3 linked regions of the Arabidopsis thaliana genome follow. The protein of the gene in region 1 interacts with the protein of each later gene in a pairwise test. Each region holds a gene or a part of one and is shown on either strand. Other genes may lie near its edges.

Region 1 (4,312 bases):
CTCACAGACCTTCACTGCAACGTTGTGAACGCTGAGATATGGACTCACAACACCAGAGCTGCAGCGGTTATTCATGTCACGGACAATTCAACTCATTCTGCCATTACTGACCCGATTCGCCTTTCCACCATCAAGGAGCTGCTGTGCAATGTAGTGAGGACAAACAGCGGCTCAAGAGCTGCGAAAACAGTCTTCTCTTGTTCTGATACACACAGGGAGAGACGGTTGCATCAGATCATGTTTGATGATAGGGACTACGAGGGAGTCAAAAGAGCAAGGACATCGGCGTCAAGGCCCAGTGTCACACTAATGAACATTGAGAAGGATTATACCGTTGTTACCATGAGGTCCAAAGATAGACCAAAGCTTGTGTTTGACGTAGTCTGTACTTTGACTGATATGCAGTATGTGGTGTTCCATGGCATGGTCAGCACAGAACCAGTGGAGGCTTATCAGGTAACTACTCAACGGCCGTCTGTTGGGATCTCTCTTCTAACAATAATATGAGTGTTTTGCTGCAGGAATTTTACATCCGTCATGTGGATGGACTTCCCATAAACTCAGAAGCAGAGCAAGAACGTGTCATACAATGTCTGGAAGCAGCCATTGAGAGGAGAGCATCGGAGGTAACCAATTAGGAATGTGAAAATTCTCTGTCTTGGCTCAAATTACATTCTGTTCTGCATCGATTTCTGATATACTCAAGACAGATTGTGCATATGAAACATACTTTCAGGGTTTAGAGCTGGAATTATCAGCAGAAGACCGAGTTGGTCTTCTCTCAGACATAACCAGAACATTCCGAGAGAACAGCTTAACCATTGTGAGAGCAGAGATATCAACGCGAGAGGGTAAGGCTAAAGACACGTTCTACGTTACAGACGTGACTGGAAACCCGGTTGAATCAAAAATCGTGGAGTCAATCAGACAACAGATAGGAGTAAGCAAGCTGAAGGTGAAGAAGAAGGAGAAGGAGCATTGCTCTGTTCTTGGTACAAGCAGGCCTTCGCACGAAACAACTACAATGGGGTATTTGCTAAGTAACATCTTCAAACCCAAGTAGCTTCAAGCTTCACCTATCTCACTCATAGTCATAGAGTGTGTGTGTGCTTTGTATAGGTTAGACAGAGTAGGGCATCATTTAAGCTGATCGTAGCGATCCCCTCTCAACAAGTCCCTTGTGTGTAAATTTGTGTGAACAAAATAACAGGAACTGCCTTTGAATAGATACGGCGTCAGTTAATACCGTTGATTAATGGATCCAGGGGACATTAATAAAGATGCAAAGTGTTTACTATTATGATTTAATGAGAGCATTCGAAAGATCAATAAGAGATGAAGAAGAGGAAGACAGAGAAAGGTGAGCTTAAAACAACTCTCTCTCTAATTACAAACTATAATCTAAAACCTGTCATTACAGCCATTGACTAGTTTCCTAATCTTCCTCCACCACATTCTCTTACAAGAAAACTTCAAATAGAAAAGAAAAAAGAAAGCAGAGGAAGGGATCAGAGCCAGAGAGCGCCGGCGTCTTTGAGAAGAGGAACGAGAGAGCCGTTTATGTGAGAAGCCATGACTCTGTCCATAGCTCCAACCAGTTTACCGCCGATGAAGACGACCGGGAGAGACCCTGGAGAAGAGGAGCCGGAGCAGCCGAGGAGACGAATGAGGGCTCGCTGGATGTCGCCGCCGTAGGGGTGGAGGTCGAGCTCGTGGACGGCGGGGCTGACGCCCATTCCTCTGAAGAGACCCTTCACGGCGTGGCACATGCAGCACGTGCTCACGCTGAAGATCACCACCGCGCTCTCAGAAGCCAGGGACTCTATACGAAGCAGACCAGTGTCAGCCACCATCCCCAAACCGCCGAATCCTAAGCTGCTCATCTTGTATGATCCCCACGATTCTGTCTGGTATTGCATCTTTGATATCTCTTCTCTTTCTCTTGTTACACTTTTGTTTGGAAAGAAACTAGATTAAACACGAATAAGAGAGAAAGAGGGATTGGCTAAAGTTTGTTGGTGAGAAGAGAGTGAGAGCCATGCAGAGTATTTATAGAGGCCTACTACACCTCTGAGTCTAACTCTGTTTTCCTCTAATTATTAGTATTATTGTTTCTTTCTTTATTATTTGTGTATAATAACATGACCTCTATTTACTTCTCCATGAAAAAAAGAAAAAAAGTAACAAAACATATGAATTAAAACCGATGACATCAAGATAGTGATTGCTGTTGAAAACAAACACCGATAATAGTTATCGGAATAATTTCATTTTTTTGTAAAAAAAAAAAAAAAGGCAAGGAGAGTTGAAGAACAGGCTTTTATCAGAAGGGAGTTGTTGGTAATAGACGGCTCCGTCTGTCCTTCTTGTCGGCTCTTACCGCTCTCACCATTAATTTTCTTACCACTTAATTCTCTCTTTTTCTTTCTTTGTATTTTCAGATACATGATCATAAAGTAAGAAACCATAATTTCCACGTAGATAAGCTCCCTCAATCTGTACAATATGGATTTTGGCAGGGTTTTTCTTTTATTCCATTCTACTCTGTAAAATATATAATTCCATACGACCGAGTAATCATCAATCCAGCAAATGTGTAATCATCACATCATAATTTGTTAAGGAGTCAGAATCTTATGTTTCTTATCCAGATTAATAGCATCCTCCTTATATATATAGAAAAAGAATTATGACTCGAGAATTATGATGTGTACATATTTTATAAGAACAGCACCCATGAATTAATTTGGATGGGTTTAATTATAACAATATTAAAATTTGAACAATTTTATATAGAAAAAGCCTTTTTTTTTTTTCTTCAAAGTTTACAAAGTTTGTAGTTTGTGACATGCTTTTGGCTTCCACGCTTGTGTCCTTTATACACGAAATGCCTTTTTTGTGTGTCTCAGGTTTGAGCTCCACAATAAATTAAATCTTAAAATGAGATTTAAAACGAAGGATTGATGGAAGAGAAGATTTTATATGTATATTGAATATAGTAAGAGAAGTCCGTACAGTTATGCTCCCTCTAGCTGAAAAAGAAAGTTACTTCTTTTAGTGTTTAAACTCATGTATTTCTTTTCTGGAAAAAAATCTTTGCATGAGAAATCGTAAAAGATAAATAATCTTGTCGGATTGTGGTTGTCGGATCGCTTTACCTTTGATTTTTGATTTTTTTTTTAAAAATCTAGTTTTCCTGACAGAAGACTTACGTAACACTTGTCATACAATGTTTGATCTGTTCAACCGATTCTCCGATATTAACCCTTTCGAGTAGCGTATGTACATGCTTTTCAATAAGGGTATTTTGAACATTTCTGAAGTTCGTATTCAACGCCTGAAACTTGAAACTTTGAACATTCCTTATTCCTTTGTATATTGATCTAGCTCTTTTCTGTTTTTGGCTTTTTTTTTTATTCTTCAAAGTTTAAATATGTATATACAAGGCTAACATTATACAAAACTTTAAAAATCTTTCGTTTTATGATTATCAATAAAAAGATGATTTTCTTCTTGTAAAAAAAAACATTTTAGAGAGAAAAAGAAAAAAAAAAAAGAGATTTTGATCGATCGGACGGGTAGGGTTAGATGGCAGGAAACGAGAGCCCTCTGGCCTATATTAATTAGTACAACAAAATATATAAATTGATATCAAAATAAAAAATAGAAAGAATACGAGCGTGATGCTATCTTTTCAGCTTTATCTGGTCTTTGCCATTTATAAATATCTGTGTGTATGTCTCTCTTTGCACAATATTAATGTTGTGCTTTGTTATAAATATATCTTCATTTCATATTTTTATATTTTCAAATTTCGTTTTTTTTTTACCTCTTACGGTGAAACAAAGCCGATAGGGAGATGAAAGGTGGGGTTTGAACTAAACCCTAAAATAAGCTTTAGAGAGTTCTATCGTCGAAGTATAATGGTCCGAGTCTGATTCCAACACCTGACCAAGATATGTCCCTACGGGTTATAAAACAATGTATATATTATATATATACAAACAGCTGGCTCATATATATCTGTAATACACTGATACAGAGGAAGGTACATATCTGTGCCTATGTATGCGCGTGGTGTAGCTGTATATGCTATGGAACATGTATATATGTTATAATGTATATTGAATTTCCAAAAAGCTTTAGTTAGTAAAAAAATAAATGGAAAACGTAAAAACAAAAAAGAAGGCAAAAGAAAAAGGAAGATATCGCATGTCGGTGTCGCGGCGAAAAGGCGGTGAGGGTATTGTGGGAGTGCTCACGAATTCCCCTAAAAATCCTCATTTATAATTAGTATATAACCCTAAGCCCA
Region 2 (6,230 bases), on another chromosome or scaffold:
GATTCATCTAGCGTTAGGCTTTATTGGTTGTAGCTGGCTCTACGCTTTTCCAAACCGGTCTAGGCTTAGGGAACATTTCGCATTGCCTGAAGAACCATGCCGTGACTTTTTAGTCCATCTCTTTTGCACCCCATGCGCTATCTGCCAAGAGTCCCGAGAACTCAAGAACCGCGGCGCTGATCCTTCTATCGGTATTCATCTAATGCTTTAAAGATTTTTTTCCCCGGCAAACTTGATGTAACAACATGAAAACATAAAGATTCAGCTTACACAATATGTTTTTTTTTTTTTTTTGTGATTTTTCAGGATGGCTTTCGAATGTAGAGAAATGGAGCCGTGAGAAAGTAACACCTCCCATAGTTGTACCTGGCATGATTCGATGATACTTTCACGCAATGCGGCTATTATCTCTTACGGTTTAAAACTTTTCTGTAGATCTTGTAAGCTTCAGGTGTTTCTCAGTTTAGCTAGGGAAAGTAAAATAAAAAAAAACGATGACTGATTCTGAATGGTAACGTTCACTACCAACTAAATAAACAGATGATCTAATACACTAAAGAGAAGAGCGTTATGGGTCTTTTAGTTAAAAATATGTAAATATGAAAACCTAAGACCAGAACTATGCTTTTCCTTTGGTCATCATGACTCATGCAGGCTTTTTATTTAGTCTCTAGGTCTGGCTAACCATAGAGAGCTAAGTGCTCTAAGCCGAGAAATATAATCGTGGATGACCAAAAAGGCGCGAGCAGCTTGTCGTGTGGTGAGAATTCTGTGAAGCTGTTGCAGAGTTTGTTGCCTCAATAAATCAGCCTGCAAAGATATAGTAACCTTTAAGCTCTTTGATTTGTAATAACAAATGTTGTTGTTGACAAGAGACATTCTGTTCATTTTTTCTTACCTGGCGAAGGAAGTTTTCAAGAGTGCCAAGTTTGCCCATAGCCATAGCCATATGACCCATATAATCTGCAACATTTGCTGAAGAGTTTGGACCCATTGAAGCAGAAGAAAGCGTCTCGAGAAGTGATTGTTGTAGAGCTTCCATGCCTTGTGACAATGCATCCTCTGCTTGTTGAGACGATTGCTGAAGGTTGCAAATGCCTATCAACTGCTGGTCCGTCAATGGATCCACATGGTTCCCCAATATCTAACAACATAGTTACCAATTATGAGAAAAAAAAATCAAAACCAATGATTGTGAAAATGTTTTGAACCCTTTCTTTTACCTTAAGTAACTCTGATGATCTAAATCCACCTAACCACATGAAAAATCTCTCGGCAGGTGTCTTCCACATGCCTGAGAGCATATGAAAGACGTCAACTTTAGTACCAATTCCCTTTAGCCTGAATATTTCATCATAGTGACTCATCACAGCATCCACTAGAACGCGTAGATCGTTGTCACCTAACTGCGAATTCACACCCGATCTTAAGTCGTTGATCATTCTTTGATGTTCTTCCTTCCAACGTGTATATTCCAATTCAAATGAAAAGACACCTACAACATCAAAACCAACTTCATTCTTAGTAAAAGATCACAAAGAGTCAAGAAGTGTTATGTGAGATTCTGAAAGTCTTTACCATTTCCGGCTGCCAAATGCGTGTGATCCGCTGAAACTCCTCTTTCAACCAAAGATCCCTGCATACAAAAGAAGCCCTTTAATACAATTTAGTAGAACATGCAAATTAAAGAAGACAACAGTGTTAATCAGACCTGTTGGCGAGCTCTTTTGAGCTCTTCCTCTAGCTGTGCAAGCCTGATTCGACTATTCTCAAGTTGCTGAACATATGCCTATTAAAAGACAATGTAAATACAAAGATAATGGACGATGAAAAACACAGTTGAATCAGCTACTATACCTTTTTCCTCAACCGACTTTTCCTAGCAGCCTCCCGGTTCTGAGCAAGTCGACGAAGTGTCTGCCAAGAATTCAAAAATGTCAAAAGTTCATTCACACATAAACCAACGTATCCAAAACTCAAATGGTTAAAATCAGAAGATCTACCCTTTGATCACTAGATTTCACATTGGATTGATCTGAACAATTTGTAGCCAATAGCATCCCTTGATGACCTCCATTCAACTATATAACACAAACCAATCAATATACATCAATGCAACTATAAATAATGAAACAACAAACTTTACAAGCAACATCAACACGGCCAAGTAACGTTTTTCATATCATAAGTTCATAACCATAAAAAGGAAGAAACTTGTAAATTTTAGTAGTAAATTCAACAAACCAATCATCCATGTTGTGTCCCATTAAACCAAAAAACAAAACAGACAAGCTCTTATTGAAACAGACATAATCTGAGCAAACAATATTGATCGAATACCAAGGTGACATATCAATGAGAAATTATAAAAAAAAACAAAAGGGACAAAACAAAACTCCAACAAGTGTAGAAGAAACAAAACAGAAATGAAAGAAAAAAAAGACAGAATCTTTTTATCTTTTTTTTTGGTTGTGACAGACAGAGAGATTGGTTATTGAAGAAGACAAAGGAACAAAACCTGAGTCTTGTCATCAGTATCAATATCTGTGGAAGTGTCAGTATGTTGACTGTTATCAGCCATAGCTGAAACCGAATCACACCAACTGCTGTTCACTTCTCCTACTCCTCCTCCTACTAATCTTGTCCCTTTCTGGTACACTAGTTGCCCTGTGTCCAAACACTCCTCTTCTCCTCCTTCAAGTCTCTCCCTCAAGCCACCACCACCACCACCACCACAATCCATAACCTAAAAAACAGAGTATACATACATACATAGAAAGTCTGAGCTAAAAAAACGGAAACTTTTTTCTATTTTAAAAATTTGGGTTTGGTGAACTTTTTACCGTATCAAACGTCGTGTAGTGTAAGTTAGCTGAAGCAATAGTGACATCTGCAGGAAATCAGAAAATGGAACCTACTTGAGATTCTTTCAACAAAGCTTAAACCTTTTTGCACTTGTAAGAAAAAAGGAAGAGAAAAAGAAGCTAACTTGGACTTAAATCGATAGCTTCTTCATGGTGAAAACCATTGACTGGTTGATGAAACTCCTCAAGACAACTATCTCCTCTGTTTTTCCATTAAGAACAAAAAAGATTGGTTTTTTTTTTTGTTGTTGAAGCTTTTTAAGAAGAGAAAAAGAGAGAAGGAGAAGTGTTGTTACCTGAAGAAGTAAGAAGACTGAGAGTAGAAATCAGGAGTGAAAGGAACGGTTTTGAAGCTGCTCTGCATTGTTGTTGATTCTTAGAAGAAGAAGATGATGAAAGATGATGACACAAAGGGAATCAGGGGAAAAAGAAGTGAGCTTTCTTAAGGAGTTGGGTTATCAGAAGAAGAAAGTGAAGTTAAAAGGGAAGGAGGGAGTGAGGAGAGAATTCATTAAAGAGGTGAAAAGATGGCGAATCAGTACGGCTGGAGGATTCATCATTAATAAATACGAAATTACTATATTGTGTGTGAGAGAGAGAAAGAAATCAGAGAAGAGATTTTGAGATTTATGTTTAATAAAAAAAAAGTGTAAATGTATTGCGTCTGAGAGGGTGGGATTTTAGTTTCCCAATAACCAACACACACACCCACGTACCCTTTGTTTTCCTATTTTAAAAATATGTTACTCTATTTACTAATTTTTCCAGATTTTTACTACATCTAGTGTAGTTAATTTTGTGGGATTATAATGATCAGTTAACTTTGTTTTGCTAATGAATGAGGAAAAAATAAAACTAATAATGTTTTGCTAATGAATCTATTGTAATACTCCATTTTCAAGAACTTTAAAAATCTTAAACGATCAAAATATTAAATGTATGTAAGGTTGGATCTTACCTTGGTGAAAAAATCAACAAAGTGTCTAAGTATAGGAAAAATGTGTAAGTTTAGTTTTAGTTGACAAATTTTTTTTAATAAAAGGTTAGGATTAGTGATTATTGAGTCTTTTAATTATCTTACGTATTATCAAAAGCCTAATAAAGCTAGTTTCTAAGTTTGATCTCGCAATTTCTTTCCCATGTCACATTGTATATATTGTATGTTAGGACATATGGCTTATGAATTATATGAGATGTCAAATATTTTGTGACATTTTTTGTAAACTATTCTAACACAATGGTTCATGTATTATAGCTAGATTAGCAGCTAAAATATCACTCCTCAATATACGTTCAATACGAAGATAGCAAAACAAAATTGAATATGAATGAGTTCATGCTAATTTTAAATCAACCATATGTGTCATGTGTGTTACCGAATTATAATAAGATGTGGTTTAGTTTTTAAATTGAGACATAATGGTGTTATACGACACATTAGTATTTGGAATTATTATATGGTCTTTAACCAAGATATGAAGATAGAATCGAGAATGACGATAATTTGGATGTTTGCTGACAATGTGTCTCTTGAAACTTGGGAGTATGTTCATATCTTTCTTTCTCTAATATTTGATTTATTATTTAATTTAATTTTAAAGTTTCTATAATAAGCCTTCTTTTTTCTTGTGCAAGTCAAAATTTAGGGTTTGAAGAAAAATAAAATTTTAATTTGCCAAGATATTAGGCTTATGATTTGCTTTTAACTGTTTTTGAAATTGTTATTCTTTAACTATTTTGTTTTCATATAATTATAAACCTTCACGCATGGAATAAATGTGTAAAATTTGTATGTATATGTAATGCAGAGCCTGGATAATTCAGATACAGAGAGTGTCATTTCCATCTTGTTTTACTGTGTCTGCCAAAGTTGAAAATGGCCTCTCGACCACTGCCACTCTGAGTTTTTATTTTTTCCCATGCACAAAAGATATAAAAAAATATATAATTATTTAATATAAATAACAAAGCTAATGAATTTCTCTAATCAATTTTCAAATATTATAAAAACGTAATTAATGCACGATTTAGTTGATAACTGGATATGCTCATGAATCATGATGTATTGTTGAAAGTTTCTTCAATGTCTCATCTCTCATCTCTCCTGTAAAAATGTCAAAAGCCTAGCCTAAGATGTTATTTTCTCAATGATTATTTTTATGTATTTAACTATATAACTAATTTGAAGTTTAAAAAAAAAAACAGATATTAATGAAATCTAGTTACCATAAAGCAGGCAATAGTCTGGCTGGCTGGTTTCTGCTCTGAAGCTGATGTGATGTTGATGGAAAGCTAATTAAAAAATCTGCCAATATTTTTAATTTTGATTTATAAAATCATACACAAATAAATGAATTCTAATAGTATCCCTATTTAATGATAAAAACCAAATAATTTTTGCAGTATTATTAACTTGATATTCAGTGGACCGATGAAGAAGAGCATTAAAAAGAAAAGCTTTGCTTGAAAGAAACATCTTCCTCATTATAAATGTAGAAACTATTATGAGCATTAGTTTTTTTAGTAACTTTTTTTAAATGAAAATTTATTACTGTCTCCTATTCTAAAACCAGTAAACTCTCGTTTCTCCCGGAGGCTTCATTGACTTTTCTTTTACCAAATATTTACACATAACCGAGAATTGGATACCTATTTTACACCAAACCGGAAACGTACCAATAATGAAATTGGTTTTGGACAAGAGAGTAGTAGTACATTTGGCAGAGTCAATGACGTCTAGGCTCTGTTTAGTCTTGTGGGTATTTTCTTGTTTTTTACTCGTCAGAATCCGATCTTGTCTCTTTCTTCTCTTCTCATTTCTTTTTGAAACATTTGGGAGAAGTAAATAATCTTTAGAACATTTCTCTGCATCATATGTACCATTTTTTTTCTTTCATAAATAAAAAGGTTTAGAGTCTTGAGTGTTTCTCTTTTCCGAAGATAATTAGATACAGTACATTAGATTGTTACATTTGACCAAAACAAATCTTCTACAACTTCCTATTGATGATGATTTGACATGTGGAGGAATAAAGAAAGCAATGTTGTTGTTGTTGTTACACAGTTTTAATCATTTAGCTGTGCGAGCATAGAGACTATTAGCCATTACTTATAAGCCAACACAAAATTTACTTGGTCTTAGAGCTTTGGATTCAGTAGGTGCAAAAGGTCTTACCGGGACTATTCCCAACAACATTTCTGTAGATCTTACTTTTTATAACTCTGTCAGATAATTAGATATACTTGTACGAAAGTTTACTATATGAAATAAACAAGATCATGTAGTTCTCACTGGTTAATAACTGTTTAACTATGAGTCTAGAAGAAAGCTCGATATAAACTGTTTCATGTAACTTTGAGGTACTT
Region 3 (5,709 bases), on another chromosome or scaffold:
TTGGTAGAAGAAGCTTACCGAGAGTATCGTAAGGAGATTTCTCTTGGCTCCAATTCGATGCTCTAACTAGAGTCTTCCTCTGATTCAAACGAAACCAAAGATTCGAATTTTTAGACCTAAACCAAGACGAATTCGAACTCTGGTTTCTAAAGGCGACGTTTTTAATCGAAACCCTAAAAAGTGATCGACTTTGATGTCTACTACAACACACAATCGAAGAGAACACAGAGTATGGTCTACAGATAGCTCGAAGATTGCTCATAACTTCAAGTTCCAACCCAGAAACCGATCAATTTCGTAAACCCAGAAATCAAAATTCATATAAATCAAATTCCACCTCTTTATATGAACGAACAAGTAAGCTCACGAAAATGAAATTCCTGAAAAATCCAACCGAACAAGAGACTTCTTCTTTACTCTTTTCTTCAATTGAATTTTCTCATTTTCCTCAGAAAATTCCAACGGAAGTTTTTTTGTGGACGACTGAAGCGCAACGATGGGAAAATTACAATAGTACCCTTTGATTTATTGAGTTTCACATTAGTCCCTTAATAATACATTAAATATACATTCAGTACACATATTATCAAATTGCTCAGATTTCAAACTTATTTGTTGTATCTAAATATATTACAAAGTTTCAACCCAAATTTACAATCTTCTCTGGAGAGATACTTCATAAAGCAAAAACCATAAAGTTCTAATCAAGAGAATCTCACTCTACTTAATTAACAAAGATCTTTTTTAAAACATCCTTCCAAGCTTTGTGATGAGTATGCTTCTTCAAGACTTTTGATTCTGCTGTTTCTTGTTTTTAAAGTTTTAATAAGTTCCTCTTTTAAGTTGGTTCTTGTGGACGAGCTGCCCAAAGAGAACTAAGAGCACGAAGTCTATGAAGATACTCTCCTAAAGCTAGTAAACCTCGAGCCGATTGTCTTGTCGTTAAGATCTTCGCCATTTGTTGCAAAGTTTGTTGCCTCAGATGATCTGCCTGTTATAATCAGGATAGAGATGTTTGAAATAGAATGACACAAACTTTACTTAATTTGTTTTGAGTTAATGTTTACTACTTACTTGATTCACAAATCCTTCTAATGCTTGAAGATTCTCTATAGCTGCAGCCATGTGAGTGGGATAATGCGTGGACTCGATAACCGCATCAATCACAATGCTTTCAGCTAAACTCTGTTGAAGTTTATCAATCCCTTGAGACAGAGCATCCTCTGCTTGTTGTGATGATTGTTGGAGGTTTCTCACTTCCAAGATTTGTTGATCCGTTAATGGTTGAAGATAAGGCATCACAACCTACAAGAAAAGGGAAGGAGAAAATATTACATTTTGAAAATGTTTTTGTTAGAGATTGTAACATTTTGGGTATTTTTACGTTTAAAAGTTCGGATGGACGAAACCCTCCAATCCATTGGAAGAATCTTTCGGTTGAAGTTCGCCACATTCCCGATATCAAGTAGAAAACATCGGCTTTTGCTGCATCGGATTTCATTTGGAAAAGATTAGCGTAATGGTTCAAGCAACTCTCTACTAGCATCTTGAGTTCTATGTCGCTTATATGAGATTGAAGCGCTGTTCGTAGTTCGCTAACTCTTCTGCTTTGTTCTTGTAGCCAGTGTGAATATTCCATCTCAAATGATGCAATCCCTGTGTTAATACTCCCAGATGGTCCTAAATGGCCCTTGAAAGAAAACATTTAGTACTGAGTCAATTACGAAACCAAAACTGATTTTCTTGATAGAGACTCAAAACAGAACATTTTAAACATATCTTTTGACCTAGCTCACCTGCTGCTTAACCTTTTCGAGTTCTTGCTCTAACTGCGATAACTTTAACCGGCTTTCCTCTAACTGCTGAACATAAGCCTAAAGATACAAAAAAAAAGAGGACTTAGTAGCAACTAACTAAACTATATGAGATTCAATAAAGGGACTTGCTTCTACCTTCTTTCTCAAACGACTTTTGCGAGCCGCTTCTCGGTTCTGCGCTAAACGCCGTTTCATCTATTGGCATATGACAAAAGAATATCAATCAATATCACAAAAACCACCATTTTCTATTATGCATGTATAAAAAAGAAAACATAATTAGCTTTGTTTTGATCTAAACCTTATCATGAATCCTGCCATCATCATCTTGATTATCATTACTAGAAGGTTGTTCTGCTTCGATCTGGTTATGAGAAGAATCATAATTTATCTGCACGTGATTTAAAAACCCATTAGTAAAAAAACAAGTAACAACAACTTTCAAAAATCAATGAATCTTGAAAGAAGAAAACTAGTTAACCTTGATGTTGTTGTTGTGATCATCAATTCTAGGATCAACCTGAATAATAGAGGAAGTAGCAGTATTGGGACTATGATCATTGATATCAGATTTGAAAACATTTCCCCAACCGACAATTTGTTGAAATGGCTCATAGATTCCCATGTCTCTTAAAGATGCAAGTTGTGTTGGAGAAGAAGAACTCATCATCTCTATATATATCCTCTACATATCAAACCAATCATAGTTGGTAATTTAGAATCTTTCAAAAACATGCACAAGAATAGATCAAAGCAGAAAGAAAAAAGAAAGTTTTGTGTTGCCTCACCTTCAGTTATAGATCCAATAGCTGGCTCTTAAAAATTGCATTTGCTCTCACTGATACAAACCATAAACAGAATAAACTCTTAATCATTTTTAAAACTAATATAAAGTTTGGAACTAAAAAAAACACACGAGAAACTCCAAATTCTCCAAGATCCAAACGTTTCAAGTGAAAAACAGAGAGGGAGGGAAAATTTAACAAACCTTGATCGATAAGCAGAGATATTCATGAAGAATTTGAGAGCTGAAGAGTTAAAGATGCTTATGAAACACGTTTCTGGTTAATACAGAGATATTTTTCATTCGGACCACAGACATCAAATGGAAGAAGAAGTGTATTTCGTTCCTTTGAACACTTCCTGTCACAAAAAAAAAAAACTTAAAGGTCAAGAGTTCCCATCATGTAAAAGAGAGGAAAAAAGGATTTTTTTTTTTTGTTTTGGTCTTTTTCTATTTCATTTATTTGTGACCATCACGGCATCACCATTAGAGTAATATTTAAGTTAAAGAATTAATAATAGTAATCAAGTTTATTAAGAAATAATCACAATCAATTTAAAGGAACGAAACGTTTAACGACAAACAAAACGCAAGAGAGAGATGCATCTTTGGCAAAGCCGAGAAGGTGACCTTATCGTGCGCTTTAATTTCTGAGGTACGCACGACGTGATGTCATCTACCAAGAGCTGAAATACCTTCCGATGTCGACACGTACCAAGTTCAGTCGATTATTCCGGTGGTGTATAATTTATTTGCATTCCAGAATTGGAAAGAGTCTTATGTTTTAGGGTTCAAATAATAAATAGTTTTAACAGAACAAATATACTTTTCCCCCGTTTCTTTAAATTTTGGTATCGTGGGAAACTTTTGATTTATTGGTTGATCAAAGATTTAGTGCTTTTGACAGCAGCAACAGATTTTCTTAAACTATAGACAAGTTCGAAGTTTATCATAAATGTAGTGTATATAGAACCGTACGTTTTGTAGTATATATATAAATTGAATTGTCATATATGTAAAATCGTTTCATATGTTTCTATGTATGTTACGGCGATTTAAACATGTCGTAAATGATAAAATGATCATGATTTATACTATAATTAGAATATCTAAAGTTGAAAAGATTCATCCTTTTAAATATAAATATATATTCATAATCATAGCCCGAATTATCGTCTAACTGATCATGACCAATCCATAATTTTCGAAACCATTTTCACATCTTTTTGGACATGCACGCTGATGGGTCTGCAAAAGAATCAATGTCTTTTTCCCTATAAGTTAGGTTCATATAGGTGGTACAAAGATGTAGGATTTTCTTTCTTCAAATTTTATTTTATCAACGTTATGTTTTTATTTTCTTTCTTTTACAACTTTAGGTTTATTTTGAGGGGACCATAAGGTTTATGCAGTGGCGTCTTTATGCTTAGTCTCCTTCCCTGACTTAGTGACAAATAATTGGAGCTTTAATGGCCTACCAAACACAAAAGATAACATTTTTAAATCTCTTTATTATTTTAAAATTAGGAATCTTAATTAGTTCGGAACCACTTGTGTAATAAAAATCTGTGTGTTCGACAAAGACAAGCATGTTTGTTTATTTTCTTATTCAGTTTTATTTCCTCTCTTGGTTTTACTTTAATAAAGAGTCCCTCTATATTGTTTTTCCAATCTATATACTATAATAAATATGAATCGGTGCGGTGATACGCAAATAAATAAATACAAGAAAAGCAACAATATTGTATGATCCTGTCAGAATATCAATTGGCATCGCGAAAGATCATATATAGTTTGGCTTGATTTATTGGTAAATCGAAGTTCTTAGAAACTTACCGAGCTAACTAAGCCTTGGTCAAGAACCTAGATAATTTTAAAACTATATGCATGCATTATAGATATCATTGTTACGTCTTATAGTTGATGAAGAAAAAGAAAGTATGATTACAAAAGTTACGTACACACAATTCTACTTTAATTCATCACGAAGACACCGATCTTCCACTATTTTCATTATCTTCTTTCTCCTTTTTTTCGTTATGACTACAAAAGTTATGCATTTTATTGCTTTTCTCGTTATCTTCTCCGTACCTTTTTTAATCTCTTATTTCTTACATTCTTCTCAAGTACACTTTAAAAAAATATATCTTTCAAGATTGATATGGATTGCATTCTACTATTTTCAGACTATATTTTGCACCAGAAATAGTTTCTGTTTGTTTCCCGTTTTCTTGAAAAAAATAGTGGTTAGAAAATACACTTGAAACCAATCTAGGTGAATAAAACATGAAAACTTGTTTTTAGGTTTAAACCGCCGTAGGAAGAATAATCAAAGATATATCGTAACTGAGCAAATCAAAATTTCGAATCTATCATGCCCTGATGAGATTCTTGTGCACGCGAATGATCGATCATCAGACGTTCAAAAAAGGAAAAATTAAAATTCGAATATTTGTAAAATTGCTTCATGAAGAATACATAGTAAATATTCTCCATAAATTACAAAACAAAGAAGGAATATAAGAAAATCTATTAAAGGAGGCATATATATAAATATATATTTATATACTATAGTTCCTTTTATATAAACCGCATGTCGTTCAAAGATTCGAACTTGAACTGAACTGAGATTGATTCTCTTATTTCGCATTCCGAAAAAATGAATACATATTCTTTCATGTTGGTTAAACATGCAGTACAACCACATGATTAGTAATAATAAACTTTTGCTACAAAATCTTAAAATGAACACAGAATTTAAGAGATTAATATCTAAACTCTTAATATTATCTCCTTTGACTTACCGGAAGAGAAGCAAAAATAAAAATAATAATTTTTTTTGTTTCTTTCATAAATTATGAATAATTTAAAAGCAAAGGAAGGTGATGGGCTTCTTTTATCATTGCTTTTGTTCCCATTGTGTGGTATGAAAAAAGGAGCTGATTTTATTTGTTTGGTGACTAAGAATAAAAGGAGTATTTTTTGTTTTCTAATTGATAATTGTTATTGTGGTGTCCTTTCCTTTTAAAGACCAAACAAGCCGGAGGATATTCTCACGTCACACAAGTGCACATGACCTTCCTTCATTGTTGTATCATCAAACTCCAT

The links. The genes of interacting proteins can lie anywhere in the genome.
Region 2: the proteins of ROXY1 (region 1) and PAN interact in binary tests that used the Arabidopsis thaliana proteins (3 or more experiments, as listed by UniProt).
Region 3: the proteins of ROXY1 (region 1) and TGA7 interact in binary tests that used the Arabidopsis thaliana proteins (3 or more experiments, as listed by UniProt).

What each region holds. Positions count from the first base shown.
Region 1 is NC_003074.8:331,004-335,315, forward strand, and holds ROXY1 (Thioredoxin superfamily protein), read right to left. Parts: upstream 2,070-4,312; 5' UTR 1,920-2,069; coding exon 1,509-1,919; 3' UTR 1,272-1,508; downstream 1-1,271. Other genes in the region: ACR6 (ACT domain repeat 6), read left to right, coding at 1-456, 522-626, 737-1,063. UniProt on the Arabidopsis thaliana protein: Has a glutathione-disulfide oxidoreductase activity in the presence of NADPH and glutathione reductase. Reduces low molecular weight disulfides and proteins.
Region 2 is NC_003070.9:25,769,076-25,775,305, forward strand, and holds PAN (bZIP transcription factor family protein), read right to left. Parts: upstream 3,576-6,230; 5' UTR 3,229-3,575; coding exon 3,161-3,228; exon of another isoform or gene 3,145-3,160; intron 3,067-3,144; coding exon 2,990-3,066; intron 2,891-2,989; coding exon 2,844-2,890; intron 2,747-2,843; coding exon 2,519-2,746; intron 2,082-2,518; coding exon 2,004-2,081; intron 1,918-2,003; coding exon 1,858-1,917; intron 1,790-1,857; coding exon 1,712-1,789; intron 1,637-1,711; coding exon 1,579-1,636; intron 1,496-1,578; coding exon 1,224-1,495; intron 1,186-1,223; exon of another isoform or gene 1,145-1,185; coding exon 899-1,144; exon of another isoform or gene 811-898; coding exon 664-810; 3' UTR 501-663; downstream 1-500. Other genes in the region: AT1G68630 (PLAC8 family protein), read left to right, coding at 1-191, 307-383. UniProt on the Arabidopsis thaliana protein: Transcriptional activator involved in the determination of floral organ number. Acts to determine floral organ patterning by establishing floral organ primordia in specific numbers and positions.
Region 3 is NC_003070.9:29,295,737-29,301,445, reverse strand, and holds TGA7 (bZIP transcription factor family protein), read right to left. Parts: upstream 3,204-5,709; 5' UTR 2,806-3,203; intron 2,656-2,805; 5' UTR 2,606-2,655; intron 2,503-2,605; 5' UTR 2,488-2,502; coding exon 2,299-2,487; intron 2,209-2,298; coding exon 2,119-2,208; intron 2,013-2,118; coding exon 1,953-2,012; intron 1,875-1,952; coding exon 1,797-1,874; intron 1,691-1,796; coding exon 1,385-1,690; intron 1,306-1,384; coding exon 1,075-1,305; intron 992-1,074; coding exon 839-991; 3' UTR 501-838; downstream 1-500. Other genes in the region: AT1G77930 (Chaperone DnaJ-domain superfamily protein), read right to left, coding at 19-262; AT1G77910 (uncharacterized protein), read right to left, coding at 5,039-5,308.